Arabidopsis thaliana: one gene and its partners. The protein of the gene in region 1 binds, or shares a complex with, the protein of each later gene. Each region holds a gene or a part of one and is shown in the gene's direction. Other genes may lie near its edges.

Region 1 (5,959 bases):
CTTTTCAATTTTAGTAAGGTTCGATAAATCCTCACTTATTTGTGCTTGATATTACTTCAGGATGCTGGAGTTACAGTTCTTGGTACTGTTCCAAGCTTGGTGAAAACTTGGAAGAGAACAAACTGTATGGAAGGGCTTAATTGGACAAAGATTAAGTAAGGAGCAACAAACCTTGTTTTGTTTTCGGGTTTATACGAGAAATTTTAACTTAGAAGCTGTTGTGTTTTGTTAGGTTTTTCGCCACTACAGGAGAAGCTTCCAATGTTGACGATGTTCTCTGGCTTTCTTCTAAAGCTGATTACAAACCTGTGATCGAATGCTGTGGAGGCACGGAACTTGCTTCGTCATACATCATAGGAAGCCCTCTTCAACCGCAGGCTTTTGGAGCGTTTAGCACACCATCCATGACAACTAGAATCATCATCTTCGATGAAAATGGCGTCCCATATGTGACAAACTGAAACTTTAGACATTTGGAGTATTTTCTTAGAATATCCAGAGATTGATGTAGACTGGTTTTTGCAGCCGGATGATCAACCATGTACTGGAGAAGTCGGTTTGTTCCCCCAGCACCTTGGGGCCACGGATAGACTTCTGAATGCAAATCACGACGAGGTTTACTTCAAGGGAATGCCCATGTATAAGGAAACAGTGAGTAGTTTTAGAACTTCTATATTTACATCTAAACAAAATTGCAAACTTACGTCAGTTAAACGATTCCTCTGTTCTGTTGCGTTCTGCAGCGACTTAGAAGACACGGTGACATTGTGAAGCGAACTGTTGGAGGATATTACAATGTTCAAGGTAGAGCTGATGATACCATGAACCTTGGAGGCATTAAGGTACTACATACATTGTATGTCTATATACCCAACTTCGATTAGAGTTGGAACTTTTCTCAAGTTTTCATCTTTTGTTTATCTGTTATAACGCAGACGAGTTCTATTGAGATCGAACGTGTGTGTGATCAAGCTGATGAGTGCATCTCTGAGACAGCTGCAGTCACCTTAACACCACCTAACGGTGGTCCAGAGTTGCTGGTCATATTCGCAGTCTTGAAAGAAGGGTTCAAGCAACAGAGTGGAGAAGAGCTAAAGATGAAATTTTCAAGAACCATTCAAAAAGATCTTAATCCTCTCTTCAAGGTAATCAATATCTTTGATGAGTTTTTCTATAAATTCAAAGTTATTATAAGATTTTTTGTGTGCTTAAAAATGGATTTTGCAAAAATATTGCAGGTGAGTTTTGTGAAGATTGTGCCGGAGTTTCCAAGAACAGCTTCTAGCAAGCTACTGAGAAGAGTCTTGAGAGATCAGATTAAGCAAGAACTACTATCCTTACGAAGTCGAATATAAAGCCTTGATCTTAAGTTTAACTAGAATAAAATAAGATCTGCTGAGTAGTAGTTGATCTACACATGATTGGGTACTGCTCGGTCCAAATAAGAAAACCGATTAAATCAAATCTACCGGTCCTTGAATTCTCTAGCCTGATTCACATTTACATGACTAAACACTTTGACTTTGTTATGTTTGTGTTTGTGTTTGGTGTATATATTTCATATCAGATTATAATCTTAATTTTCCTCAAGATTATCTTTTGTTTAAATTTGTAAAAATATTTCGGACGATACTCATACATCCCATAAGGCTTTGAGACATCTGAATAGTATCACCACGAATGACCTATGGAACCAGAAGACAACTAGCCGCACCCAACGATACAAAGATAGCGTTAAGATCATTCGAGGTCTAGCTATATCGTGGTATACAAAATCTAGAAAATATAAAGTAAAACCATAGCATTGTTTGGTTCATTTGATTGATGCAAGTCAAACAAACTCGAAAGAATGAGATCTTAATACCAAAACTTCAAAAACACTTGATATTAAACACCTTATTTGGAGGAAACTCTTTTATGATGCTTGTGGTTGGCGGTTTTTTTTTTTGAACCAGAGTGTTGTGAAAATAATGAATTGGGCCTGACTAAAACAAATTGGGCCACAGAAAAAAAAAGAATTAGTAAGAGCAACAAAAAAAAAAGAACCCTAAAGAGCGCGTTTGGATCTGGTTTTATGAAAACCACGAGAGATTTCGTGTTGAGATGATTATGATGTATTGAAGAGTTTTGATCAAAAGAGAGATATAAACCTCGCAACATCAAGAGAAGATCGAGCTAGAAATTGACAACGTCTTCCAATTCCGAGCGCTTCAAGACGATGATTTTGGGGTTATAGCCTATAATTTGAAGAAAAAAAAGGATTGAACTTGTTGTATCTATCCCCAAGTGATGTGGACTAATGTTTTCAGAATTGTAAGTCTTATTCTATCATCTTTTTCCCATTGTGTGTGAAAATTGACTTATTGGTAATACATGATGATTTTTCTTCTACAGGGTGGTCTACATAATGTTTCTTGGTTTCAGTTTCTTCCAAGTGAAACTGAGCTGAATCCTGGCTTTGATAGAAGGTTAAAGCTTTAAGCTTTTTCAATGGGTTGTTTTAGTTTTTCCTTATTGACATTGTACTAATTAGTCTGGTCACTCTGGAGTTTTTTTTTCAGTTCAAGAGCTGAGCAGAATGAAGTTGCAACATATCTTGTACTTTCCTCTCATCTACGGTTGCAGAAGGAAGGGTTTCTTACCACTTGGACCAATTCTTTTGTTGGACCTTGGGATCCATCTCAAGGTTTATACAACCCTGGTAATGCTAAATCTCAATCTGGTACTTTTAAATTTTGTAACTTTATTTACAGTTGTATCTAACCATCATTCCTCGCTGCTGCTCAGATGAAAAGATTAAGCTTTGGCTTTTTCTACCTGGGCGTCATTCATCAATATCTGATAAAGCTCAGGCTGCTGTGTCAAAGCTTAGAGGTATATTCTCCTTATGATTTATTTTCTTCATCGTATTTTGTCGCCTCAATAGATTCAAACATATTGTCTCTATTCTGATTATGACTGTTTAGTGAACATGCCTGTGGTCTATGGTTATCTTGGTATACTTGTCCTTACTTTTCTTTTTCTCCTGTTGAAAGTTGTTGCGTCAGGAATTTGGGTAGCACCTGGGGACTCTGAAGAGATATCAGTTGCCTTTTCACAGTCTTTACGTAATTGCATCGAAAGGTTAGTTTTTTATTATCTGCAGACATAATGGTTGGATTAAGGAAATAATGGATTAGAGTATCATATTAACTTGTTTGATATCGCCACAGAGCATTATCTGGAATTTCCTACATGAGATTTGGAGATGTGTTTTCAAAATTCAGCCCTCAAAGCGAAGAATATTTGAGGTATCTGCAACCTCTTACCAATATAAGCGAGACCATGCGTTATAATCTCTGATGGTTTATTAGCAAATATATCGTCTTTTTTCTCTATGGCTTTTCGATTATGTATTATCCTATAGCTTTCATTAAATAGGGTCTGTGAGACCTAGGTTTCCTGAGTGTAATTCTTAGAATCCAAAGAATTCTATGATTAGGTCTGTGGCTCGCTAATGCTCTGTGGCTCGCTAATGCTCTGTGGATATTTATGTAGGAGGGGACAGCCTACTGTTGAATTCATCTTTGCTGCTACCGAAGAGGCAGTTTTTGTCCATGTCATTATATCTGCCAAGTCCGTAAAGCTTTTTGTTATACTGTTTCAGTTATGGTTTAGTGCTTCACATAGTTATTGAAACTAACTATAATATTTTATGCACGAAGGAATGTCCGCACACTTTCAAGTGGCGATGCTGAAAGAATGTTAAGGAGTTCTTTGAAAAACTCCAGTTATAGGCTTCCAGGTTAGTTATTTTTCCATCATCATTTGGATTGATAAATTATCCTACTTGTCTACGATTTTGATGGAACTAGTTCTAGATGTTTGTTGACCTCTTCTTGCTTTGTACTGTTAGAATACTGTATAGATTGAGAGCATTTTGAACTCAATTTTCAATGCATCCACTCCAAAAAGAAACCTAGTGTAGTCTAGTGCTACTGCTACCTAGCTTCATCAAGCAAAGATTTAACACCTCATTTTTTTGCATGTCACAAGAGCTTTTCGTAAATGTTTGGGATTGGCCAAGAGTGAGGATAATAGATTATGCTACATGTAATTCTATGAAGCCAAACTTTTTGAATTGATACCTGAAATGAAATCCGCCTTCTACACATGCTTAAAGAAAGATAAGAGCTTTTTATTTGATAGAAACACTTCTCACAGGCCTATGTTATTCCCACCAGTTATTGTTTCTCCTCATGGAATGCGGGGCAGCCTTACTGGATTCTGTCCCAATGACCTTGTCAAGCAAGTCTACTTCAGGTACATTTCATACCTTTGCTTTCGAATGCCAAGTCAACATTTTTTGTGAGTGCGTAGCCGTTAATCTGATTAATCCAATTTTCTCAACTAATACTTTTTTCTCACACAGTTCTGGAAACTTAAAAACTTCGACTGGATATGTTGGTCTCCCTTCTCATATTGGTCGTGGGTCCCGTCTGATAAATGGCAATCATTGCTACGTGGAAGTTACACTTGGTTGCTGCCAAAATAGAAATGACAACACAAGTCAAGCTAATTCGACCTTTGCAGTTAACTTGCCCCATAACCAGTGTCCTGAACCTTCAGTTGGGAGTAAAGATCACCGTAAAGGACAATCAGATCTTTCATCAGTTTGTGAAAAAAAGTTCATCTATCCAGCTGAGGCAGTGCTTGTACCAATCTTACAGTCGGCATTTGCGAAATTTTCTTTGAAAAGGTAAATTGACTAGGTGAGGTGGTTATTTAGAATTCATTGAGTACTTAACGGTAAGATCCAGATTGGCTATACATAAAATTTATTTCGTTTCTGTTGAATTCCATGTATGTATTAAAACAAATTGACTCTGTGTGATCGTAGTGGAAGTTTTAGTAATTGTTTCAGACCCATGTTAAATAGATGTAATAGTTGTGATCTTTCCTCAGCTTGGAGCTGATGCAAGGTGAAATCATACTTGCAGATTTTGGCTTCAAAACTGGATAGGCCCGTCACTAGCAGGCTCATCTTTGTTTATGCACTGGTGAGTCTTTTTCATCTATCTCGTCGACATTTGAAGATCAAAAGAAATCCACAAAACAGAGGTCTTGAAATGCCCAAACTGTTCTGAGAAACCGAATGTTTTGTAATCTTCATTATTTGAAGCACCATAGGAGTGAGAGCTGTGGCATTTCCGAGTTTTGTTCCAATGTTATACGTAACGATTTTGTTTTTCATTATAACAGTCTGTCCATGATCCCTGTATATGTGAACTTTATTTTATGCAGGGCTGGTGATTTTGACTGCCTTGGTGCGTCTGAAAATAAGAGTGATGGGTTTTATGAAAAAAATGGTTACAATAGCAGTGGTAGTAGCCGTAATAGCAGCATTAGTTCAACAAGTAGCGCTTCCAGCGGGAGCGGCTGGAGGATGACGTCAAGAACTGGTGATCTTGACGCTGATGCAGATTCTTTGACGTGTAGGCAATCTGGTCTTACTTGTAATGATGATCGCCTAAAAATGGTACGACTTTTATCTATGGAAGGGATGGAGTTTGCATGGTACTGATGAGGAAATTGAATTGTCGATTGTAGCACTAACATGCTTAATCAACATCATATAATGTAGTTTTCCTTATTTTATAATAATTCACGAAGCTAACCAATAAGTAACATAACATTCTTTACAGGGTTCCAAGCGGCCGCGAACAGGGATGGCAGAGTCATTCGGTCAAGTAGGTACTGTCACTGATGCACCTATTCAAGAAGCATATATGTCAGGATTTGTTTCCACTAAAACTAATAAACTGGTGTTCCAGGCATTGAAAATGATCAAATTGGTTGGGATTGGGATGCTGATGATGATGATGATGACAGAGAAGTTGGCATGGATATCAAGGCACTTCTTTCAGAGTTTGGAGACTTTGGTGACTTCTTTGAGAACGATGCTTTACCTTTCGGGGAG
Region 2 (7,131 bases), on another chromosome or scaffold:
TGTCTATCCTCAAAAGGGAAGTCGAGTGCTCAGCGAGTTCTTCATTCGGGAGCTATCCAGGCTACTTTGGAACAGGGAAATCTCCTGAAATGACAATTCCGGGTCAAGAAACAAGCTTTCTTGATGAACTAAACACCGGACAGCTGAAACAGGACACAAGCTCGCAGCAGCAGTTCACTAATAATAATAATATCACAGCATACAATCCCAATCTTCACAATGATATGAATCATCACCAAACGTTGCCTCCTCCTCCTCTTCCTCTTACTCTTCCGCATGCTCAGGTGTATATTCCAATGAATCAGAGAGAGTATCATATGAATGGATTCTTTGAAGCACCACCACCTGATTCTTCTGCTTACAACGACAACACCAACCAAACCAGGTTTGGTTCTAGCAGCAGCTCCTTGCCTTGCTCAATCTCAATGTTCGACGAATACTTGTTTTCCCAGGTAACCAAAACAAAACTTTCTCAGAGATTCTAAATGGGTTTTTGTTTTGTAGACTGATTTGACAATTTGTTCTTCTTTCTTATAGATGCAGCAGCCGAACTGAGAGAGATTTGATGAATGATGATAAAACATCTCACTGAAGAAACTCAAACCAATATTTTTTTTCAGAAACAGCAAGAAAGCTAAAACTCTGCCGATTTCTGAATTGGTTCCAAGAAGAAAAAAACCAGTGGTAATCCCTGGTAGATTGTGCAACCAAACCACACACAATACGTGTTCATTTATTTTTTCTATATCTTCAATAGATGTCACTTAATTCTTTTCTATACATAATTTCTCAGTCAGATGAGATTTTTTGAGGTTTTCCATATTTCTCCGGCGATAAAAGTTAGTAGTGTCTTTGGAGGGCTGTCAAAGTAACGCCATGACAGCCAAAAGATGAGAAACTCTCTCTTCCTTCCCTTCCCACAAACTCTAGCCTCTGTATCTATTCTTTTTCATTCTTTCAATGTAAAACAAACAAACAAAACAATGTTTACTACATTTTTGTTTTTGTTTTTGTCTTCAAAGTACTCTTGTTTATTAAGTGATTTATACAAAAGTTTACAAGTTATGTAGGATGAACTAAGGAAGCTTATGTTTATGGGTTAGAGAGACTACATTGGATGATTCTTCTAGGATTTTGAATCACCAAGAACCATCAACAAAGCCAACAGTATCTTTCACACAAGTTACTAATATCTTCTTAAATAGTTTTACTTTGTAAGAACCATTTCCTTGAGTGGGTTTACAATGGGACGGACTAACTTGCGTACAAAGACCGTTTTTTATTCACTATTCATAATTTTGGTCCGCAGTTTAGTAAATAGGAAAAAATATAAAAACTCTAGGGGAATTGGAAAACTAACCAAAAAAAAATATAATTAAGAAACTAGCATAAAAAAAAAAGCAATGATATCCTCTATATTTTATATATTAATTCCAAGTTTACCCCCTCTATCTCTTTCCGTCTACCTCTCTCTTCCCTTCTCTCTCCCCTCTATCTTTTTCTCTCTCTCTCTTTCTCTCTCTTTCTTTTTTTCTCCCCCTCTCTCTTTCTCCTCCCAATAAAGTTCCTACACCTACCTCGTTACTTGTTTTTTATTTCAAATTAGAGTCTCTTAATTACTTTAGGGTGATATTTGATTTGGGGGTTTCGAATTACAGAGCGAGGAACACAAGTTAGGTTCAGGGAATTGACTTTCGTTGTTGCACTTGATGATGAAATAGGGTTCCGTTGTTGCGCTTGGTGTATTGGTGATGAAATTGAGTTCCGTTGTTGCATTTTGAGAGATACTATTCTATTTTGTAAATAGTATACTATTTACGTATACCTTGTTCTATATACGTTTTAAAATGAATTGTTTGTTTTGATTAAAGATGTTAAGTGATTTCATTAATGTTTTAGATTTAAACCCTTGGGTTCCCTATATATTATCCCTTTAGGGTTTAGTATACTTCCATCAAAAAATATTGTCAATTTATATAGAACGTTATGTTATTCATTGACAACACTATTCACATCTAAATTATTTTGTGTCTATTTTCAAAAATTTAAGTCATGATATTTGTAGAAAACTATACAACTTTTTAATAGATATATCATGAACTTGAATTAAATTTTTTAAGATCAGATAATATGAGTTACAATTGAAAAGGAGTAAAGAAAAAAGAAAGAGAAAAGAGAATTTCTCTCCTACCACCTATTTCTCTTCTCACCTCAACACCAATAATAAAGTCACGTCAGCTCACACTAATCATTCTCCTTCTTCGCTGACGAAGCGTAACACCAGGACAGTGATGTCTTTTTACTCTCCTTGAAGGTTATTTACTACATTTACAAATTTATGGTGTTAGTTGGTTAATTATTTAGTAAAAAAGTGTTATATCTACAAATCACGCAAAACTCTATTACGGACCAACAAATAGTTTATTTGAAAGCAAAAAAACAAAACTTGGTCCGTAACGGATTATTGTCCGTCTTAGAAATATAATGGTCTACTCCGCAAACAGATTTGTCCGTCTTAGCGACATATTGGTCTAGTCTGCAAACGGATTTATCCGCTCTGTCTATTTGTTGCAACCTTGTAAGTTTTCAAAGAGGAAACACATATATATGTTATGGATTCGGTATGTTATTATATTTCCCGGTTCTATTTCTCAAACACACTCTCTCGTCTTCTCCAATAACTAACTTCTCCAAATCAAAGCCTTCTTCGAGATTTTGCGCATTCCTCGTTTTCTAATTCGTAAGTTTCTCTTTTGTGTGTGTTTCTAATCGAAACTTTTGTGTCAATTTCAAATCGGAAACCTAATTAATTTGTTCAATTCGCTGTGATGTTAAAAACCCCTAATTACGTTAAATTTGGAATTAGGGTTTGTGTATTAGCTCTGTGTTATCAATGGAGACACAGCCGCAGCAACCACCTCCTCCTCCGGTAGCTGAGAAGCTGAATCCAAAACTGGAGAAGGAACTGAATCTGGAGTCGTTGAAGACACGAGCCGTTAGCTTGGCCAAAGCCATTGCTCGAATCCTTGAAGATTTCGACGCTTATGGTCGAACCAACACTACTCCTAAATGGTTCATCATCATCGAATCCAGAATTTGATAATATTTTGATGTTTATGAATTTTTTGTAACAAGGATTGATTTTCTTTTTGTTTTGAACAGGCAGGATATTCTAGGGCAGTATTCGATGGTAAATCTCGAGCTTTTTAACATTGTGGAAGAAGTAAAGAGAGTTTCAAATGCGTTTGTTGTGCTTCCTAAGAACGTCAATGCTATGAACGCTGCAAGTATGGTCTTTTTTTAGTTGTTTTAGTTGATGAGTTAAATGAATTGTGAATGTGATGAACTGGTTTAGCTTAGCATTTATCAGTGAATCTGCAGTTTTACCGGTTATGTTGTCTTCGAAATTACTACCGGAGATGGAAACTGATGACAATGCCAAGAGAGAGCAGTTGCTTCAAGGTGTTCAGAGTTTGCCTATACCAATGCAAATCGAAAGGCTTAAGGTTAGTTTTGTAATGTATTTTTGTTGTGATTTGTTTGCTGGTTTTTGAAATGGTATCTGTTATTACAGGCGAGGATGGATATGATTGCAGCAGCTTGTGAAAATGCAGAAAGAGTATTAGCTGATACTCGTAAAGCTTACGGATTTGGCACTCGTCAAGGCCCGTCTATGCTTCCTACTATGGATAAAGGTCAAGCTGCAAAGATTCAGGAGCAGGAGAAAATGCTACGAGATGCTGTAAATGACGGTAAAGGTAAGAGGGTTTTAGAATTTATTGAGTCATTTGATAGTGTACGAAACTGCAGTTTTCTGTTTTGCTGAATTCCTTCTCATGTTCTTTTACAATGGTTGTTTCTAGGAACACAACTGCCTCCAGACCAGAGACAGATAACCACTGCACTTCCACCACATCTGGCAGATGTGCTAATTATCAATGATGCAGGTAACGATTTCATTGATCTGTCTGGTAGAAGTAAACCCAATGCTTGAATCTTCTTTATTTTGTTACTACTACCAATGGTATTCTCACGTTGTTAATGGCTCCAAAAATTCTCTTTCATTAGGTAAGATTGCATTACCTGGGCAATCAAACAACATTAACAATCAAGGAATGATGCAGGTTAAACTAGTTTATTCTCTCTAGTTGTGATGATTATTACTTTTGTTAGTATCATTGTCTTTCGAGGTTCATGTCTTTGTGTGTTTTTAGGTTTCCGGGACTCAATTTGTGGGAAGATCAGCTGCATCTCCATCTGGTCCTAATTTTGATAACACAACATCTCCCTTACCATATTCCAATTCTCCTCGCGCTACGGGTATGGTTAATGTGCCTTCGCCTCAGCATCAAATCCAGCAACAACAGTTTCAACAGCAGCAGCAAAGGTCAAAATTAATGCAGTTGCCTCAACATCAGCAGCAGCAACTACTTGCACAACAACAACAACAGCTCAGGCAATCTTCTATGCAGGGATTGGGTCAAGTAGGCTTTGACATTTTGCAGACGTAGCAATTGACTGTTTTTTCCTACCATACTGCTTTATTGAGCAACATGCTAATTCTTTGTGTAGAGTCAGATACCAGCACTTCATGATATGCATGGGCAAGCTCAGCAAAAGTTTCAGACGGTAAGATAAATAGAACTACAACATAGTTAGGGGATAGATGTGTGAAGTGAAAAGGATCAGACACTACCTTGGTCAATTATTTGTATCATTATGCAGTAGTTATGGCCATAAATGAAGATGACTAGACGTATTTATACAAGTTTACATATACCAAGTGAATGATTCATACTCTTGAAAAGTTATCCTAGATCTTGGGACTTGGCAGAAGCTTTTATATAAAAGTAACTGTGACAGTTCGTAGTTTCAAACAGTAGAATCAAATGAAATTATGAAACAAGCTTTTGTCTTTTAAGTGTGAGTTTTATCTTATTTTTCAGTCACATGGGCAACATCAAATGCCATATTCCCAGCCAATGGGCGCGCACCAACAATTCCAAGCTAGACAGCTCTCAGGTGGACATATTCAGCATAGCATGTCTCAAGGACAGCTCAATCCAGCGATGAACCGTCACTTAAACCAGTTTTCAGGTGGAGCCAATAGTGCATTGTTTACTTCTGCACAAGGCTCCCCAAGTAGCCAAATGGTCAGTCACCTCTCTTTAACCTCTTGAATTGATGATTCGAAACAATTACTAATCATATTTTCTACGTACTTTTTCTTTTAATTCTAGATACCAAACATGTCATCTATGCAATCTCAGACACTTGTTCCTAGGATGCAGGTTAGCTCAAAAACTCCTCTACTCATTATGTTTCCCAAATCTGAACGATGAACATTGTCTTAATCTGATGATCTCTTTGGATTTTTATGGTTGTCAGCAATTTGGAGTTTCGGGTACCAATCCCCAAAGAAGCCATTCGTCTCAAATGTTGGGTGACCAGAGTAAGTAAACAAATCTCTTCTAAAACATGTTTTCTTACATCAAAATCGATTCCCTGACTATTTCATTTGTCCTATCTTTACAGTGTTTAACACCAGCGGAATGATGCAAACACAGCAAACACAAATTCAGCAATCGCAACAGCAGCAGCAGCAGCAACAACAAGGAGGCTATGGAAATATGCAGACGAATCAGCAGAGTCTACAGCCTAATAACATGATGCAGAATGCTCAACAAAGGCACCAAAATCCTCAATAACCCCTTTTAAATAATTTGGGCTTGTAATGGGCCGATGCCTGTATTTTGTAGTACCAAAGGCCTGGCCCATTCTTTAACATTAATACACTCACCAGATTTCTCTAGTTGTATGGTACTTTCACACTACACTAGTACACTTTGTTTACTTGTATCATTGTATGAGGTTAAAAACGTGAAGCAGAGATTGGACGGTGGAGGATTGTTTTCGTTCTGACATGTTTATTGAGAATTCGACACGTGGCATCGACGTGAACATCTCGACGCCGTTGATGGGGTTATAGAGACAAAACGAAGACGCGTTTCTGTTGTACACGGGACTCGAGAGAGCGACGTGTCTATGAAGTTTACCTGTTTTCTGAACTTTAAACAGAGAGCTTTAAAACTGCGACTCGAAAGCTATTAAATTTTCTGACAATTTGTTTTGTTTCTTGTCAACTTAATTTTATATACTCATTTTTTATGTACTTATTTAGCTCAACGACTCGTTTAGTTACCTCAATCAAATTTTGAAATTTAGTTACCATTTCTTTTAAATTTTTTGTTTGCTTTTGTTACAAATATGAAAAACTAGTTTACTTTGGTTTTTAGGAATTTGCGAAAAAATCACTCAAAATCGCTTATTTTTACAATTTATTGTGCACATTCAAAAAATGCAAAATAAATTTATAAAATTTAAAATAATACACAATATAATTTATTTGTGCGATTTTGCATATGTTATAAACGTTTTCACTATAACATATATTTGTATTCAAAAGTTTTAAAGATATAATTGAACTCATCATCTCAAAGGCTTTGATTTGATATATTATTTTCTTTAATATAAATATTCAATGCATAATTTTCTTTAAATTAATTTTATATAAAATAAATATTTTACTATATATTATATGAAATAAATGCTTTATTATAGGGAAAAAACCCAAAACAAACCTCAACTTGTTATGAATAAAGATGGATGCTCATTATAACGCCCATCATCTAAACTCATCATCTAGATGTTTCTAAGGTTTTACCCTTTCCTTGTAATCCTATATAAAGAACCCTTTACCTCAATGGAATAACACACTCATTTTCTTCTATCTCTTTCTCTGTTTATAACACGTTATCAGGACGCTCTAAAAGGTAGATATAGAGATTCTTACATTTTTTTAAGAACCATGTTTACTTATCGACTCATGGTTCATAGTATTTATTTTCTATTATTGAAACAAAACAATATGAGCCGATCGATGATTATAGTATAGATCGGTAAAAGCATGTTTTCAATGATTCAATAAAGAAGAGAATCATGCTTATCATTTGTTTCTATAATTACTATCGCATGATTCAATGATTCTACAAAGAAAATCGTTAAAGAAGATAATCATGCTTATTAATTGTTAATTTTTGTGATTTATTATTACAATAATGAATATATAAA
Region 3 (9,213 bases), about 12 Mb from region 1:
TGTTCTTTATTGCCTGGAATTTCTCACCCTCAAGTCCAATACTCACAAGGAGGATTATTAGTGAAGAGTGGAGGAAGTAATATGCAACATGTAACATCTTTGTCTTTTTTGTTACTAACATACTCTAATTACCTAAGCCACGCAAATAAGGTGGTGCCATGTGGCGAATTTACAGCTTCTCCTGCTCTTCTCCGTCAAGTCGCCAAGCGTCAGGTAACTAAACTAACCAACATTCCTCTGTTTTAGCATAATAGAGAGATTCATTAACGTAAGTGTTTGGTGGCGTACGTTAACATAGGTGGACTACATACTAGGAGATAATCCAATGAAAATGTCGTACATGGTTGGGTATGGTTCGAGGTTTCCACAGAAGATTCATCATCGTGGCAGCTCGGTTCCTTCAGTTGTGGACCATCCTGATCGTATAGGGTGCAAAGACGGATCTCGTTATTTCTTCAGCAATAATCCTAATCCTAATTTGCTAATTGGCGCCGTCGTTGGTGGGCCTAATATCACCGACGATTTTCCTGATTCGAGACCTTACTTTCAGCTGACTGAGCCCACTACTTATATCAACGCACCTCTTTTGGGCCTACTTGGTTATTTCTCGGCCCATTATTGATTTCACACCTCGAACTCGAACGAAGCATGAAAGTCTATTTTTGTTGTGAAACATTTTTAGTTGATTGTTACCGATTAGTAGATTCACTAGATTCTCTAAATCTACGAACAAATAATTGTATAAATTAATCGAGTACACAATAATCAATTTTTAATCATATGGGAGTTAGGAAAAACAAAGAGTAATAATGAGAGAAAGGGGGAGACAAGAGTAATTAATATTTTGATGACCAAACTAATCAAAAATCAGGAATTTGTCTTTTGGACTTTGGTCGGCTGCTTTACGCTTAACACAAAAGAACGCTATTTTGTCTCCTCCACGCAATTACCTCTTCTCACTCTCAGACATTTTGTCAAACAGATGGTGCTCGTTTCTGAATCAGCTTAAGAACTAACAAGGAGACAGACACTAAGCTTGGTTTTTCTCTCCGATTAGACGGAGGAAAAAGTGAAAACGAGGGGCTTAGACGAGTGATGTGATAGAGATGGAAGGAGTTGAGCTAGAATTAGAAAGAAGAAGCAAGTTCTTGAACAGTTTGATACAGAAGAAGAAGGCTAAAGAACAGCAAGATCAGAAAGATGAGTTCAATGTTCGTGTTAGGGCTTCAGATATGCCTTTGCCTCAACAGAACAGAGCCTTTAGTTTGTCGCGTGAGATTTTGAATGCTACTCCAGGGAAGGCTGATAACAAAAGACTCGCTCATGCCCTAAAAAAGGTTAGATCTTTTGTATCTCTCTCATGATTTTTCTGTATTTGGGTTGAATTGGAGTCATTGAAGTCTAGTACTTGGATTGAGTTTTGAATTTTGACACAGAATCTAAAAGTATTGAGCTGCTTTTGGGTTCTAGGGCTACGTCTCAAAGTCGCATGCTTTTTGTAGAATGTGGTTATGGTCTTCTCTTTCTTGATTGGTTTGAAGATGTGATGAATCTTGAATTTGGATTTTCGTTTGTGTACTTGCATATTGTTGAACTTCATGGATGGTCCCATATTTGTTAGGTTGCATTTGACTTTGTTCCATTGTTGTTGTCTTTTCTATTTGTAGCTTCGGTTAGTCTACTTGACTAGGTTGTTTTTGTATTGCGAGGATAACTGTAGTAGGAGTCTCGTTGTGAAATGTCTTGAAACTGGATGTTCTTGTTGTTTATTGAGATGATTTTGGAGCTGTCTTAGGCCATAACTAATGAGGCATAGCATGCACCATCTGCTAAGCTTCTGTATCTTTGCTGTTAGAAATTAGTTGCTACCTAATGATAACTCTGAAGCATGCTTGCTTTAGGAAGTGAGCCTTGCCTGAATACAACCTTTTACAAAGGACTTGGTTCGACACCCCATATATAGAGTTGTCCATTTATGCAGTTGTTTCTCGTGAGGATATTGTTCCTTCTTAAAGCGGCTTTGATAATTAGCTTTTGATTTTAACTTATGGAGCGAAATGGAGCAGTTCCCTCAATTTATGCGACTAGGTAGAGGCATTGATTGATCCATACATTGATTTTATGAAGTGGTTGAGTAAAACAATTTAGTGTTCACTTATCTGTGTGCAGCTTACTTGTTTGTCTCAGTGTTCATCAATCTCTTAATAATGGCTACCTCCCTTTGGCTTTTAGGATTGACATACGAGTCAATTTCTGCTGTTGTCTTGTTTTATCTTCTTGTTCTGGTAATATAGATCTCTTATCTCGAAATAGATCTTCATATGTTTCTTGTCTCTATGTTTTCTCCTAAATCCAGCTTCTATGTTATCCACTGAAGTGAATCTTAGACTCCCATCTGTCTAATGACATGTTGCAGCTGATTTAAAACTATATATTCACGAAACAGTTTTCCATCTGTCTTCCATTTCAGGACTTCGATTCAGCCTACGGCCCGGCATGGCACTGCATTGTTGGAACAAGCTTTGGTTCATACGTGACTCATTCCACAGGAGGATTCCTATATTTTCAGATCGACAAAGTTTACGTTCTTCTCTTCAAGACTGCCGTGGAGCCGTTAGATCAAAAATGAGATAAAACGTTGATGATCAGAGCATCTTCAATTTAATCCTTTTCTTTTAGAATTCTCTGTCTTGTATCCCACAATGTAATTCTGCCTAAGACAAAATCTTTGTGGCTCCTATTGTGTAATTAGAAGTCATCTTCTCTACTGTGAATCGTTTCAACTTCACAATGCAAAATATTGTTCTTCTCTTTCTCAAATTCTAATTTTGTTTTTTTCGTTGTTGTGTTGTTGTTGTTGTTGACATTTTCTTCTCTTCAAAAGAGCTTTAAACCCAAAACCTCTAATACCAATTTTGCTCCTCCGTTTTATAAGCATCAAAGAAAAAAAGAATCAGTGAAGAAGAAAAAAAAATGGATCAATCGCAGCGAACAGTCGCTGCAACGCCATCGTCTTCTCGATCGTACCAATTCCACCCAGCTCGTGCTGCAATTATCGATCTTTTCAATCTCTACTTAGGGGTTGGTTAATCTCTTCTCCAATCTCCCAATTTTTTTCATCGAATTTTGTTTCTCTGCTGATTTTGCTTTCTCTATCACAGAGAGGAAGCCGTCAAAAGCCTGATGAGTCCCTCCGAGATCCCCCGTATGTTGTTTCTATTGATTCTGAATCAACTCTTGTTTTCTCTTCCTTCTGTGTTTGATTTTATCCATGTTGATTGTTTTGATCAGGAACAAATCACAGAAGCGTGTTCATGCTCCTAATAGAGACTTACCACCAAGAAACGAGCAATTCCTTTTGGATTTTGAGCTGCTTCAGAGCCAATTCAATGTAAAGTCTCGTTTTTTAACTATCTTTATCTTTCTCTTTGTGATTTCGTAAGATAAAGTTTTTTTTTTTTTTCCAACTCTTTGTTAGGATCCAGAGCAATTGAGGACGATTACTGAGTCAGTTTTGATATCTCTGGTGGTGCAATGTAGCAATCATGCGCCTCGTGCTGAGTTTCTACTCTTTGCTTTGCGTACATTGTGTAGGATTAGTTATATCAATTGGGATACTTTTTTACCATCCCTTCTCTCTTCCGTTTCCGCTGCTGAGGCGTCGTTAAGCCAAGGTGTTCAAGCAGCAGCGGCAACGGCTGGTTCTTCTGCTACTTCTTCGCAGTCTGTAGTTCCTGTGTCTGTGAATCCAACGTCATTGCTGCCTTCAGCTCATGGTATTGGTTCTCCATCAGCTTCAGAGGTGAAATCTGTGGAGAATGGGCAGCAGATTGCAAGAGCTGGCCAGATTGTAAGAGAGAATGCTATGAGAAATAGTCAACGGATTAGAGCTGCTGCTGTAAACAGTCTGCGTCAGCTCAGTTGCAAGATTATCTTGATTGGCGTTGAATCTAGTCTCAAACCCGTTACTCATGCCGAGATTTTCCAGTACATGATGAATTGGCTTGTTAACTGGGACAGGAGAGATCTGGGAACTGAGGACTCTGTAGGAAAGTCGTGGAGATCTGAGAAGACTTTAGCTGAATGGTTGCGGAGTTGTTTGGATGTGATCTGGCTGTTGGTAGAAGAGGGTGAATCTCGAATTCCGTTTTATGAGTTATTGCGCAGTGGTCTACAGTTTATAGAGAACATACCTGATGATGAAGCCTTGTTCACTCTTATCATGGAGATACACCGGAGGCGAGATGCGATGGCCATGCATATGCTCATGTTGGACCAACATCTTCACTGTCCATCATTTGGTACCCATCGTATAGTCTCCCAAATAACTGCCAATGTTCCACCCGAAGCTGTGCCACACTTACGACATTCACCAATTACATATCCAAGTGTGCTTGGGGAACCTTTATATGGAGAGGTGATTCCTATGAAATTGTGGAGATTGGTTTCATAGCTTAGTTGGCTCTTGTTGATATTGTGTAATGTATACGCTTTTCATTAGGCAGACAATTTGTGAATTTCAATCCTCTCTTCTTCTTTTTCGACACCGGCAGGATCTGGCGATGTCTATTCCAAAAGGAAGCCTGGATTGGGAGAGAGCAGTGCGTTGCATTAGACATGCTATTCGCACTACACCGTCACCGGACTGGTGGAAGCGTGTTCTTGTTGTGGCCCCTTGTTATAGACCATCTACACAAGCAGGGCCTATCCCTGGTGCTGTATTCACTTCTGACATGATTTGTGAGGCAATCATTGACAGAATTGTTGAGCTTCTTAAGCTGACCAACTCAGGCAATGTTTGTCTTTCCCTATTTCTCATGTCTTTGATCTGTCACTTCCATTTAAATCTGTGGAAATTATTTTGAAATAGCAAGTGGTTTTGCTAGTCGTCACAATCTGTAAAGAACCTACATCCTTTACGTTTTATTCTAGTTCTATAATCGTTGATTCGTTAGGCTTAGATAGAAAAGATAAAAGTAAGAGTTGAGATACCATTATACTAGGATTGCTTTGGTATTGATTTGGTATCTGTTACTTTTCCCCCTCTCTATGCAGATGCAAATTGCTGGCAAGAGTGGCTGGTTTTCTCGGATATATTCTTCTTTCTAATCAAAAGTGGGTGTACTGATTTTGTTGATTTCATTGACAAGTTGGTTTTACGCCTTAACGGTGTTGATAACCATATTCTTCGGACGAATCATGTGACTTGGCTGCTTGCACAAATAATACGCGTGGAGCTTGTGATGACTGCTTTGAACTCAGATGCTAAAAAGGTCGTTACTCAATTACAATGATATGTTTGCAGCTGCAATGCAATTACTTGTACTTCTTTTTCGGCGAATTTAACATCCCAATTTGTGCTCTATTTGGGTTTTCTCTCAGGTGGAGACTACTAGGAAGATCTTATCATTTCACAGGGAAGACAGAAATTCTGATCCCAACAATCCTCAGAGTGTGTTGCTTGACTTCGTAAGCAGTTGTCAGAATCTACGGATTTGGTCACTAAGCACAACAACTAGGGCATACCTAAACAATGAACAGCTGTTGAAGGGAAAACAGATCGATGAGTGGTGGAGAAGCAAAGGTACATAAGGTTTCAATGGCAGGGCTTAGACTAGGAAGCAGAGAATCCCGATTATAAAAAGCATCCTCTCATTCTGTTTCTTGTTTGGGGTTGTCAGGAGAGCGGATGATGGATTATATGAATATGGATGATAGGTCGATTGGCATGTTTTGGGTTGTTTCCTACACCATGGCACAACCAGCATGTGAAACAGTTATAAATTGGCTATCTTCAGCTGGCATGGCTGAGTTACCGGGATTACAGCCAAACGACCGAGTAATGATGACGCAGGAAGTTACCCCGTTACCTATGTCATTGCTATCTGGCTTTTCAATGAATTTGTGCTTGAAATTGGCCCTTCAGATGGAAGAAGCTTTGTTTGTTAGCCAGGTTTGTTTCCTTTGTCTCACAAAGATATTATATATGTTAATTGATACACTGATCTATGAAGAACATCTTCTTTGGTCATTTTTACTTAGTGACCTATTTTCTCCACGGTTTAGTAAAACAACTTTAGCGTTTTACTTGTTTAAAAATGTTAATAGTAGATTTTAAAAAACCTGAGAAAAATGAATTTAGTGTCGTAGTAAAACATCTGAGTGCAGGTTGTTCCTAGCATTGCAATGGTTGAGACATACACAAGATTGCTTCTGATTTCCCCTCATTCGATGTTCCGTTCACATTTCAGTGTAAGCTATTTGGTTCCTTCTGTTACCTTTTGACTTTCATTATCTTATGTTTTATTGATCATAAGCGATTCATAAGATTAGCTAACTTTCTGTAGCAATTGGCCCAGCGAAATGCTTCTCTGCTAAGCAAGCCTGGAGTGACGTTACTTGTTCTTGAGATTCTGAACTATCGGTTGCTGCCACTCTACAGGTAAAACGAGCGAAAAGTTCTCAAGTTGGAGTAGATCCTTCTTTATGTTTTAACTGGGTCATTCTTTTAGTTAGATGACAATTGTTTCGGGCTTTCGCCATATTGGCTGTTAGACCCGACTAAACAAAATTACTGATCTTATTGCAGATACCAAGGAAAGAGTAAAACTTTAATGTATGATGTTACTAAAATAATATCTGCATTGAAAGGAAAACGTGGTGACCACCGTATATTCAGACTAGCTGAAAACTTATGCATGAATCTCATTTTATCACTCAGAGACTTTTTCTCTGTGAAACGGGAGGGAAAAGTAAGTGGTGTTTTCGAATTACTCACTGTCCCCCTTCTTATTTTGTGCCTGGATCTCAGGTGTAAATAATTGTTCTTATGTTATCATCACTAGGGGCCAACTGAATTCACTGAGACGTTAAATCGCATAACCATCATGACTCTTGCTATCACTATCAAAACACGTGGTATCGCAGACCCTGATCACATGGTTTATCTGCAAACCATGTTGGAACAAATACTCGCGACGAGTCAGCATACATGGTCAGAGAAGACGATGCGGCATTTCCCATCCCTTCTCCGTGAAACTTTGAAAGGACGGGTAGACAAGAGGGGCCTATCAATTCAGGCATGGCAACAGGCTGAAACAACTGTGATAAACCAGTGCACTCAACTTCTCTCACCATCTGCTGAACCCGCTTACGTTTCAACATACCTCAGTCACAGTTTTCCTCAACACCGTCAGTATCTATGTGCTGGTGCTTGTCTGCTGATGCAAGGCCACGCTGAAAACATCAACAGCACAAATCTGGTTTGCTTTGCTTAGTCTATTCATAATTGTGAAATGATTGTTTGTTGATAGTGGTATGATTTTCTCTTCCAAATGATTATCAGGCACGAGTTCTGAGAGAAGTTTCTCCTGAAGAAGTCACTGCTAACATATACACTTTGGTCGATGTTTTGCTTCACCACGTTCATGTAGACCTTCAGCAAGGACAATCTCTAGAGGTTTCTGTCTGCCAGAAGAGATTAACCTCACTTTTCGTTGCTTGATCCATCTTCTTACATTGCATCGTAATATTTTTTAGGCAGTTCTAGACAAGGCAGGCGCAAATCTTGCATTTTTCTTCTGGACACATGAAATGCTTCCTCTCGACATTTTTCTTTTGGCGCTCATTGACCGTGATGATGATCCTCACGCCTTGATAATTGCAGTATGTTCATGCTTTTACGTAAAAGAAGCTTAACATCATAGAAATTTTACAGTGTTGTTTTCAATTTATTTACAGATGAGCCTACTTAAAACGCCAGACCTTCTGCTGAGGATAAAAAACTACTGCCAAAACCGTGGGTCTCCTGAGCACTGGCTTGTCACACAGGTGTTCAAACGCAATGAACTCCAGAAGGCCCTGGGTAACCATCTTTCTTGGAAGGACAGGTAATATATCCAATTCAACATCAGTGTAACTGATTTCTAACAACAATTTCACTTAAGTACATGGCTTTGATTGTTTGATTGGTTTTGTTGGCATCCAACCATAAATGTGTGATGGAACCTTCCATGAAAACTTGTGTATGACTAGGAAATAGTTGAATTTTGGTTTGATCTGTTTTAATTTTGGTGTTGGATTCTGCTAAAGTTGGGTAAATGTTTTACCTATTTTTTTATTGTGTTAAACGCAGGTATCCAACGTTCTTTGATGATATTGCAGCGCGTTTGCTTCCAGTTATCCCTCTAGTGCTTTACAGGCTCATCGAGAACAATGCGATGGAGCAAGCTGATAATCTTTTGCTTGCACACTCGCATTTTCTAGCGTATCATCCTCTCAGATTCACGTTTGTCCGTGATATACTAGCCTATTTCTATGGCCATCTTCCTGGGAAACTTGTTCTGCGCATGCTCAAAGTACTTGATCTCAGCAAGGTAATTGAAAACAATTCCCGATCTTACATTGATTCTGAAATTGACCTCAAGTTGATGCCGCTTTTGGATTTTAGTTTAGAGATTTTGTTTCTCACCAATTTATCTAGATACCTTTGTCCGTAATCGTTTCCACATTCGATTAAAATGGAACGTAACAAATCTTTTGACATTTCCGCAGATTCCATTCTCTGAATCATTCCCGCAGTACATTAGCCCTACCGGTGCACCTGTATGCCCACCTCTAGATTACTTTGCCTCTCTTCTGCTTAATCTCGTAAACAATGTTATACCTCCACTTAGCAGCAGCAGCAACTGCAGCTCGAGGTCTGGCTCAATGGCAGACATCTTAAACAGCTCAGCAAGACCTCCTCATGGAAAAACTCCAGGAACATCTCAGCCTGGACCAGCAAACGCCTCTGAGGGCCAGAAAGCATTCTATCAGATCCAGGACCCAGGAACTTACACGCAACTGGTTCTTGAGACAGCCGTGATCGAGATCCTCTCGCTTCCTGTCTCTGCTGCTCAGATTGTCTCTTCGCTTGTCCAGATAATTGTCAACATACAATCGACTCTGATTCAATCTGGAAACGGGTTCCACGGCGCTGCCAACGGGGTGGGACAAGGGTCGGTACTGCCAACGTCTCCCTCTGGAGGGAGCACAGACTCCATGAGCGCTAGCCGGTCCACTTGTCTGATTCCTGGTATCAACACAGCGAGCTTTGTCTCTAGAAGCGGTTATACATGTCAGCAACTGTCGTGTCTGTTGATTCAAGCTTGTGGACTTCTGTTGGCTCAGCTCCCTCCAGATTTTCACGTACAGCTTTACTTGGAGGCAGCA
Region 4 (8,830 bases), on another chromosome or scaffold:
ATTATATATAATAAAATTATAACAGCATAATGATCATCAACATCATTTATTGCTAAACATCATCATGTTCATGCCCCCATGCATGATTACGATGGAAGAATCTGACATAAAAAATTGAAGGTCCAAATTGACAACGACTTCATCTTAATCTTATAATCTACATGTCAAGAATTTTATATAAATAAAATTGATTAAATTTATATAGGTGAAAAATTTCATATAAACGTGAGGAGGAGGAGGAGAATGAGATAAAAGGGTCCACCTGGGCCCAAAAACACCAACCCTGTTGAGAGATGTTAGGACCCTCGTGTGGGCTGGGCCCAGTCAAAAATCATTGTCTTGTTGTGTATAACAAACATTACAGGTTCACACGTGTGACACACTAGGTCCTTAAATGCTATGAATATATGTGATCTGATTTGTTTTATTTTACCATTAATAAGAAGGAGCTTAAATCGAACAAAACTGAATGATAAAACAAGATTTCACCACTGTATATATCGTAATACAATAATACATGCTGAAAAATATTAAGGTAAATGTGTAGATGTAGAGAACAACATGGCTTAAACACAACCAAACCCATAAATTTATTATTCATGGATATTGGATATATGCATTATATGCATTATTATAAATTAATTGACCTCGTATTAACATTTTTCTAGAAATTGGTGCAGGGGGTGAATCGCGTCTACATCTATGTATTTTACTACATCCCCGTCTGTAAGGATTCACTGGTTGTTCGGAGGGTGCACATGCAGAAGGATACCGATGATGATCACAAGGAAGATCAGGCTTCAACCCTGGATACCCAATTACTTTTCCAACCGTCATGTTCATGCTGCTTATGAACACACATGCTATGAATGTTGCCACTAGCATAAACCTATTTGTTATTTTCATATTGCTCATGATTTGTGTTTATTTATGTGTGTGGGAGAAATATATATTTGTTGGTAAGAATGGTACAGTTCGTGGTATTTATAGTGAATAAATAATTGTGAAAGAGTCTTATACAACTTTTACTTAAAAGGAAATTACAATAGGATGTTGAATTGACCGGTAGAAAATGTACCTACAGAATTCTTTAGTAATACATGTATTATAGATATAGTCCTTTTTTAGCCAAAGTAGTCAAACTAGCTTTTAGATATGCATGTTGTGGTCATAGTAATACTAATACAAAACAGTTTTATAGCCAAAGTAGTCAACAATATTTGAGTTCTATGTACTCTTTTTTTTTTGGTCAAAGAGTTCTATGTACTCTAATATAGTATATCAATATATTAGGTTTCATGTTCTTCCAGTACATGGAGGTGAAAACAAAGCACTTTTTTCTTACAGAAATTTTTTTACATCAATAATATGCAAATATCATAAACTAATAATAATTATAAATACACCAAAATAGTGTGTCAAAATTGGTTGTAGACAACTATTAGAATGAACACATCGCTGGGCTTTTTGGTATTGGGTTCAAAGTATATATAAAAATTCATGCTGGTTCTTTATTTGCCGCCCAACATAAATTAGTTGGACAAGTGAGAAGGCCTTGCTACTCCTACATGCGTTACACTATTACAGTATTACTATTGCTTCATAGAAAAATAAACCTCGTACCAAAATCTCAAATAAGTGTTTCTTGTGGTTCCTTATGAAAAATTGTTATACACTATTACAGTATTACTATTCACCGTTTATTGTCGGAACTCGGAACAACGTTTTCACCGTCCAATTGTTATACACACTATTCACCATATATACATTAATACATCACACATCTTCTACTTAAGAGTGTAGTGTACATTAATGATAATTTTGTAATTAACCTTTTTAATGATGGTTAAAATGTCTAATTAATAATTTAATAGTGACTTACTTGCTTACGTGGATAAAAGAGAGACCCCACACAAAAATTAGATTTTGCCGTCTGTTAAAAAAAAAGGCTTCTTCAGCCGATTTCTCCAAAAATCGTTTTTTTTTTTTTTTTTTTCATCTTCCGTTCAACGTTTTGCGTTCGACTCTTCCCTGACCCCTTTCAATTTTAAACCCTTTTTCTCTGTCTCTCTTGTCCGAATCAAATCCGGTTGCTGGAAAAGGGAAGCTTTGTGCTTTTGTCGTCGTGGTGGGGGAAGCGGAGGATAAGAACCCTAATTTTTTACGAATCGTGAGATCTCCTAAGTTTCTGAATCGGGTGGTGGCGATTTTGTTTCTTTCTCCGCGATGGCGGAATTAGGGCAACAGACGGTGGATTTCTCTGCTCTTGTTGGTCGAGCCGCAGAGGAATCGTTCCTTTCTTTTAAGGAACTTGTGGATAAGTCTAAGTCGACGGAGCTTTCTGATACTGAGAAGAAGGTTAGCCTCCTTAAGTATGTCGCTAAGACTCAGCAACGGATGCTCCGCCTCAATGCCCTCGCCAAGTGGTGTAAACAGGTTTGTCTTTCTCTGTTTCTCGCTAAGTATTAACGTTTTGGGTCTGTGGGTCGAAGTGAAAGTTTGAAGCTTTCTTGGACTGGAATTGGATATGTTGCAAGATTAGGGTTTGGTTTTGTTGATTGCATGATCTATTAGTTTTAAACACATTTCCCGTGGATATAGTTTTGATGTTTGTAGGATGATTTACAGACTTTGAATGGAATTGGAAGATCCTTTTGTGTGATCTTGTCCTTGATGGGTTTTTGTTGTTTGGATTACGTTGCTTGTCTACTAAAGTTTAGATTTGTCTCTTAAATTCCATGGAACTTCACATTCCAAGTAGGCTTATCAATGTTATCATGTACTTCTGTTATTTCTGCATATTTTAAGAAATTTATGACTGTAGTGTCTCTGTAAAAATTCAAGGTAGTTTACTTCAGATCAACGTTCCATTTTAAAAAATTATGATTTCATAGATTGTTGATGCTTGCTTGTGTTCACTTTCTTTACAGAGTAAGTATTCGAAAATTTATTGAGCTATTTATTCATTTTTGGCTAAACCTCCTGGGCTGCAGGTTCCTCTTATAAACTACTTTCAAGACCTTGGGAGTACATTATCAGCTCATGACATATGCTTCACACAAGCTGCGGATTCGCTGTTTTTTATGCATGAAGGTCTACAGCAAGCTCGCGCTCCTGTCTATGACGTTCCCTCTGCTGTTGAGATTTTGCTGACAGGTTCTTATCAGCGCCTGCCAAAGTGTCTAGATGATGTGGGCATGCAGAGCTCTTTGGATGAGCATCAACAGAAACCAGCTCTAAGAAAGCTGGAGGTACTTGTACGTTCCAAACTGCTTGAAATCACACTTCCAAAAGAAATAACAGAGGTGAAAATTTCTAAAGGTACAGTTACCTTATCTGTCGATGGGGAATTTAAAGTTCTTGTTACTCTTGGTTACCGAGGGCACCTATCCATGTGGCGGATATTGCATTTGGATCTACTTGTTGGTGAAAGAAGTGGCCCCATTAAACTTGAAGTGACAAGACGGCATATCCTTGGAGATGATTTAGAGCGTCGAATGTCCGTGGCAGAAAATCCATTCACAATTTTATATGCGGTGCTCCATGAGCTGTGCGTTGCCATTGTCATGGACACAGTCATAAGACAGGTCCGAGCTCTTCTGCAGGGGAGATGGAAAGATGCAATTCGCTTCGACTTAATTTCAGATACTGGTACCACACCAGCGAACCAAGAAGGAGAGGCAGATTCTGTTAGTCTTCGAACGCCAGGAATGAAACTTTTTTACTGGTCAGATTCTGATAAAAATTCTGGCCCATTTATTAAAATTGAACCAGGGTCAGATCTCCAGATTAAATGTTCTCACAGCACATTTGTAATTGACCCACTTACTGGCAAGGAAGCTGAGTTTTCTCTCGACCAGAGCTGCATTGACGTGGAGAAGCTTCTGCTTAAAGCTATATGCTGTAATAGATATACCCGTCTTCTTGAAATTCAGAAAGAGCTTTTGAGGAATACTCGTATTTGTCGAACTCCAAGTGATGTGATCCTTCAAGCCCTCCTGGATGAGCCTGGTATTGAGGTAAAGAAAGAGTTGTTTTCGGCTTAATGTTGAATATTTTGTTCCTTGAAAGTTGTAGGACTTTTTCCCAGGTCAGAGCTACTTACACTAGTTGGACATTTAGTATGTCACTTGCATGTCAATAGATAGATTTCTGTTTATGACACATAGCCCTTGCTAAATAATGCATAGCTTTCATGCTATAGACCATGAGATTAAGCATTAATAATCGCAAATTTAAATTTCAGAGATGGCCGAACCTAGGTTTCGATAATTTATATTTTTTCGAAAAAGTAGTTTAATTTTTGCAGTTCACATGGCCTATTGCCTAGCTTCTTTTGGCTGGGGAGCTAGTATAGTTAGGCCATATTTCTCTTGCTGTCTCAACAACTAATTGAATTTAATTGGATCATTTTCTCTTTCGCCATTCTTTTAGGGAGATAACATGGTAGACTCTAAAGAGCGAGTAGAGCCAGAGGTCTTACGAGTGCGAGCCTATGGATCTTCATTTTTCACACTGGGGATAAATATAAGGTATGATATCTTCATCTATGTATTGGGAGAGATCTTATTTTAGCTGACTATTCTCACTATATGTTATTGATTGCAGGACTGGTCGGTTTCTTCTACAGTCATCCAAGAGTATCTTGACCTCCTCCATCTTGGAGGAATTTGAAGATGCGTTAAACCAAGGAAGTATATCTGCAGTTGATGCCTTTATCAACTTGAGAAGCAAAAGTATTTTGCATTTTTTTGCTGCTATTGGCAAATTTTTGGGTCTTGAGGTAGTAATTGTTTGCCTCAGCTTGTTGTTCAAATTCACTCTCTGGAGTTGGGAGTGTTGACGTTTGCGTTTAATGCAGGTCTATGAACATGGTTTTGGTATAAACAAAGTTCCTAAAAGCCTCTTGGATGGGTCAAGCATTCTGACTTTGGGATTCCCTGACTGTGAAAGCTCTCACCTTTTGCTAATGGAGCTCGAAAAGGACTTCACACCATTGTTTAAATTACTGGAAACTCAGATGGATGGTTCGGGAAAACCTCAGTCTTTCAATGATCCAAGCAATATTTTGCGAGCTAAGAAAATTGATATAGGGCAGATACGGATTCTCGAAGATGATCTTAACTTGATTACATCCGATGTGGTTAAATTTGTATCTTCATTCTCGGATGCTGAGGGCATAAATCAAGCATCTGGACACCGTCAGCCTGGATTGGTTGACGAGGCTTTGACAGAAATGAGTGGAAGCCAGTTGAGTTTCTCTAGTGTCGTAGATGGAGTGTTTGGACTTCAGAAAGTGACATCTGCTCTTATGTCAATTGATGGACATGGTTTAGTTCCCAAAAATCTCTCTGCTGTTACCGGCCATGGAAAAGCTCCAATGTTGACTAGCTATCATTCAGATTCCTTGTATAATCGACAGGGTCCCTTACAATCTAGCTCTTATAATATGTTATCATCTCCCCCTGGGAAGGGTTCAGCTATGAAGAAGATAGCCATCTCTAACTCTGACCAGGAGTTATCCCTGATACTGTCTCCATCCCTCTCTACTGGGAATGGAGTCTCTGAGTCAGGCTCTAGACTGGTCACTGAATCCTCATTGTCACCTCTTCCCCTATGTAAGAACATTTTTCCATAGCCTTTTTTTTTACCTTCATAGAACTTTCTCAATATTAGAATTCAAAAATTTCCGTTATTTGCAGCTCAAACAGCTGATCTTGCAACATCATCTGCTGGTCCTTTGTTAAGGAAAGATCAGAAGCCCCGGAAACGTTCAGCTTCAGATTTGCTAAGATTGATCCCATCCCTCCAGGTAGTGGAAGGTGTTGCTAGTCCCAATAAGAGAAGAAAAACCTCTGAACTGGTACAGAGTGAATTAGTGAAGAGTTGGAGCCCTGCATCACAGACCTTATCCACTGCCGTGTCAACATCAACAAAAACTATAGGATGCAGCTATGGGAATCTCATAGCTGAAGCAAACAAGGGGAATGCACCTTCAAGCGTTTTTGTTTATGCTCTTCTCCATGTGGTCAGGCATTCTTCGTTGTCCATAAAGCATGCCAAACTAACTAGTCAGATGGAGGCATTGGATATTCAATATGTTGAGGAAATGGGACTAAGAGATGCATTTTCAGATATATGGTTCAGGCTTCCATTTGCTCAAAATGATTCCTGGCAACATATATGCTTGCAGCTTGGTAGACCTGGAAGCATGTGTTGGGATGTGAAAATAAATGACCAACACTTTAGGGATCTCTGGGAACTTCAAAAGGGAAGTAAAACCACACCATGGGGTTCTGGAGTTCACATTGCGAATTCATCTGATGTTGATTCTCATATCCGTTATGACCCTGAAGGTGTTGTTCTGAGCTATCAGTCTGTGGAAGCCGATAGTATAAAGAAGCTTGTGGCCGACATACAAAGGCTTTCAAATGCTAGAATGTTCTCCCTTGGTATGCGGAAACTACTTGGCATAAAGCCAGATGAAAAAACAGAAGAGTGCAGTGCTAATTCCACTATGAAAGGATCTACTGGAGGAAAAGGCAGTGGTGAGCCAGTAGATAGGTGGAGAGCTTTCAAGATTGAGGCTGTGGGATTAACAAGCCTGTGGTTTAGCTTTGGTTCAGGCGTTTTGGCGCGTTTTGTTGTCGAGTGGGAATCAGGTAAAGATGGATGCACCATGCATGTCTCTCCTGACCAACTATGGCCACATACAAAGGTGAGTAGTTCGCAGGACTTAACATTTGCTCTCTTCATGGGAAATATTTTTATTATAAGAGTTCCAAATATATGCTTTTTCTCATCGTGAGTTACTCTTGTACAGTTCTTGGAGGATTTCATAAACGGAGCAGAGGTAGAATCCCTTTTGGATTGCATTCGCCTTACTGCTGGGCCTTTGCATGCATTAGCTGCCGCTACTCGCCCTGCCCGAGCTAGTACTGCCACTGGCATGCCTGTTGTACCTGCTACAGCGTCTTCAAGACAATCAAATCAGATACAACAAACTCAAGGAATCATTGCCCCTTCAACTTTAGCAGCTCCTAATGCTACTGGCCAGTCTGCCTCAGCAACTTCAGGAAATACTGTTGCTTCTTCTGCTCCAAGCCCACTTGGTGGAGGTTTCCATGGAGTTGCAATGCTAGCAGCTGCAGGGAGAAGCGGACCTGGCATCGTTCCAAGCTCTCTCTTGCCCATCGATGTCTCTGTAGTACTCCGTGGACCCTATTGGATAAGGATCATATACCGTAAACGTTTTGCAGTAGACATGAGATGTTTTGCTGGAGATCAAGTCTGGTTGCAGCCAGCAACTCCACCCAAGGGTGGTGCTTCTATTGGAGGCTCCTTGCCATGTCCCCAATTCAGACCTTTCATCATGGAGCATGTTGCTCAAGAATTGAACGGTTTAGAACCAAATTTGACAGGTAGCCAAGGAGCAACAAATCCCAACAGTGGAAACCCAACTGTTAACGGTGTGAACAGAGTTAACTTTTCCCCTTCTAGTGCAAGAGCTGCAATGAATCGAGTAGCCAGTGTTGCTTCAGGATCTTTAGTGGTTAGCTCAGGATTGCCTGTGCGTAGAACACCAGGCACTGCTGTACCAGCGCATGTAAGAGGTGAATTAAACACAGCGATAATCGGTTTAGGTGATGACGGTGGCTATGGCGGAGGATGGGTTCCTCTTGTGGCTCTTAAAAAGGTTTTGCGTGGTATCCTTAAATATCTTGGAGTACTGTGGCTATTTGCTCAGTTACCAGATCTCTTAAGAGAGATCTTGGGTTCCATCTTGAAGGATAACGAAGGCGCTCTCTTGAATTTAGACCAAGAACAACCAGCCTTACGCTTCTTTGTCGGGTAAGCCAAACCAAGAAACTTATGCTCAATCTTGAAGGATTATGCTTAAGCTTATCTATTGTTTTGTTTTTTTGTTGTTTTTGTTTTTGCAGTGGCTATGTGTTTGCGGTGAGTGTCCATAGAGTTCAGCTCCTTCTTCAAGTCCTTAGCGTAAGGCGATTCCATCACCAAGCACAACAAAATGGTTCTTCTGCTGCGGCTCAAGAGGAGTTAACCCAATCCGAGATTGGAGAAATCTGCGATTATTTCAGCCGCCGTGTCGCATCAGAACCGTATGATGCCTCAAGAGTTGCCTCTTTCATAACACTCCTCACGTTACCCATATCGGTCTTGAGAGAGTTTCTGAAACTGATAGCTTGGAAAAAAGGATTATCCCAATCACAACAAGCTGGAGAGATTGCTCCTGCACAGAGACCTCGAATCGAGCTATGTCTAGAGAACCATTCTGGTACAGATTTAGACAACAATTGTGCAGCTAAAAGCAATATCCATTACGACCGGCCGCACAACACGGTTGACTTTGCGCTAACCGTTGTTCTTGATCCTGTGCACATACCCCATATAAACGCGGCTGGAGGAGCAGCATGGTTGCCTTACTGTGTATCAGTTAGGTTAAGATACACATTTGGCGAAAATCCTAGCGTGACGTTTCTTGGAATGGAAGGAAGTCATGGAGGTCGAGCTTGTTGGCAGCGAGTGGACGATTGGGAGAAATGTAAACAGAGAGTGAGCCGTACAGTGGAAGTCAACGGTTCTGCTGCAGGAGATTTGACTCAGGGAAAACTCAAGTTGGTTGCAGATAGTGTCCAGAGAACATTGCATCTATGTCTTCAAGGTCTGAGAGAAGGTGGTAATAATAATAACAACACTCATCAAAAGGAATTTACCATATAGAGAGAGGTCAAACTCTTGTCAGTTTTGGGAATCGTAATGTGTACATACGTATTCTGCTGTTTTTTTTTTCTTTTTCTTTTACTAT

What was found.
Region 2: GCT (region 1) and MED8 share a complex: the UniProt entries of both Arabidopsis thaliana proteins name them as parts of the mediator complex.
Region 3: GCT (region 1) and AT1G23230 share a complex: the UniProt entries of both Arabidopsis thaliana proteins name them as parts of the mediator complex.
Region 4: GCT (region 1) and SWP share a complex: the UniProt entries of both Arabidopsis thaliana proteins name them as parts of the mediator complex.

The regions. Positions count from the first base shown.
Region 1 is NC_003070.9:20,635,305-20,641,263, forward strand, and holds the start of GCT (RNA polymerase II transcription mediator), read left to right. Parts: upstream 1-2,075; 5' UTR 2,076-2,289; coding exon 2,290-2,313; intron 2,314-2,394; coding exon 2,395-2,468; intron 2,469-2,561; coding exon 2,562-2,701; intron 2,702-2,787; coding exon 2,788-2,874; intron 2,875-3,035; coding exon 3,036-3,123; intron 3,124-3,212; coding exon 3,213-3,290; intron 3,291-3,537; coding exon 3,538-3,615; intron 3,616-3,704; coding exon 3,705-3,784; intron 3,785-4,037; coding exon of another isoform or gene 4,038-4,092; intron 4,093-4,188; coding exon of another isoform or gene 4,189-4,223; coding exon 4,224-4,302; intron 4,303-4,411; coding exon 4,412-4,738; intron 4,739-4,979; coding exon 4,980-5,039; intron 5,040-5,283; coding exon 5,284-5,518; intron 5,519-5,684; coding exon 5,685-5,733; intron 5,734-5,813; coding exon 5,814-5,959. Other genes in the region: AAE18 (acyl-activating enzyme 18), read left to right, coding at 61-155, 233-449, 526-651, 744-842, 936-1,145, 1,239-1,355. UniProt on the Arabidopsis thaliana protein: Component of the Mediator complex, a coactivator involved in the regulated transcription of nearly all RNA polymerase II-dependent genes.
Region 2 is NC_003071.7:903,085-910,215, forward strand, and holds MED8 (mediator subunit 8), read left to right. Parts: upstream 1-2,428; 5' UTR 2,429-2,740; intron 2,741-2,866; 5' UTR 2,867-2,893; coding exon 2,894-3,072; intron 3,073-3,162; coding exon 3,163-3,287; intron 3,288-3,381; coding exon 3,382-3,506; intron 3,507-3,574; coding exon 3,575-3,758; intron 3,759-3,863; coding exon 3,864-3,947; intron 3,948-4,068; coding exon 4,069-4,124; intron 4,125-4,214; coding exon 4,215-4,484; intron 4,485-4,572; coding exon 4,573-4,629; intron 4,630-4,946; coding exon 4,947-5,153; intron 5,154-5,240; coding exon 5,241-5,291; intron 5,292-5,388; coding exon 5,389-5,452; intron 5,453-5,535; coding exon 5,536-5,708; 3' UTR 5,709-6,188; downstream 6,189-7,131. Other genes in the region: AGL30 (AGAMOUS-like 30), read left to right, coding at 17-485. UniProt on the Arabidopsis thaliana protein: Component of the Mediator complex, a coactivator involved in the regulated transcription of nearly all RNA polymerase II-dependent genes.
Region 3 is NC_003070.9:8,241,508-8,250,720, forward strand, and holds the start of AT1G23230 (mediator of RNA polymerase II transcription subunit), read left to right. Parts: upstream 1-2,932; 5' UTR 2,933-2,973; coding exon 2,974-3,081; intron 3,082-3,161; coding exon 3,162-3,205; intron 3,206-3,291; coding exon 3,292-3,391; intron 3,392-3,478; coding exon 3,479-4,417; intron 4,418-4,553; coding exon 4,554-4,796; intron 4,797-5,003; coding exon 5,004-5,273; intron 5,274-5,382; coding exon 5,383-5,584; intron 5,585-5,681; coding exon 5,682-5,953; intron 5,954-6,168; coding exon 6,169-6,252; intron 6,253-6,347; coding exon 6,348-6,442; intron 6,443-6,589; coding exon 6,590-6,752; intron 6,753-6,845; coding exon 6,846-7,262; intron 7,263-7,345; coding exon 7,346-7,459; intron 7,460-7,539; coding exon 7,540-7,665; intron 7,666-7,740; coding exon 7,741-7,889; intron 7,890-8,134; coding exon 8,135-8,375; intron 8,376-8,553; coding exon 8,554-9,213. Other genes in the region: GH9B6 (glycosyl hydrolase 9B6), read left to right, coding at 1-213, 299-622; AT1G23220 (Dynein light chain type 1 family protein), read left to right, coding at 1,107-1,337, 2,471-2,629. UniProt on the Arabidopsis thaliana protein: Component of the Mediator complex, a coactivator involved in the regulated transcription of nearly all RNA polymerase II-dependent genes.
Region 4 is NC_003074.8:1,291,811-1,300,640, forward strand, and holds the start of SWP (RNA polymerase II transcription mediator), read left to right. Parts: upstream 1-1,987; 5' UTR 1,988-2,226; coding exon 2,227-2,436; intron 2,437-2,993; coding exon 2,994-4,019; intron 4,020-4,434; coding exon 4,435-4,532; intron 4,533-4,608; coding exon 4,609-4,783; intron 4,784-4,861; coding exon 4,862-5,618; intron 5,619-5,702; coding exon 5,703-6,718; intron 6,719-6,823; coding exon 6,824-7,851; intron 7,852-7,943; coding exon 7,944-8,745; 3' UTR 8,746-8,830. Other genes in the region: RALFL21 (RALF-like 21), read right to left, coding at 598-915. UniProt on the Arabidopsis thaliana protein: Component of the Mediator complex, a coactivator involved in the regulated transcription of nearly all RNA polymerase II-dependent genes.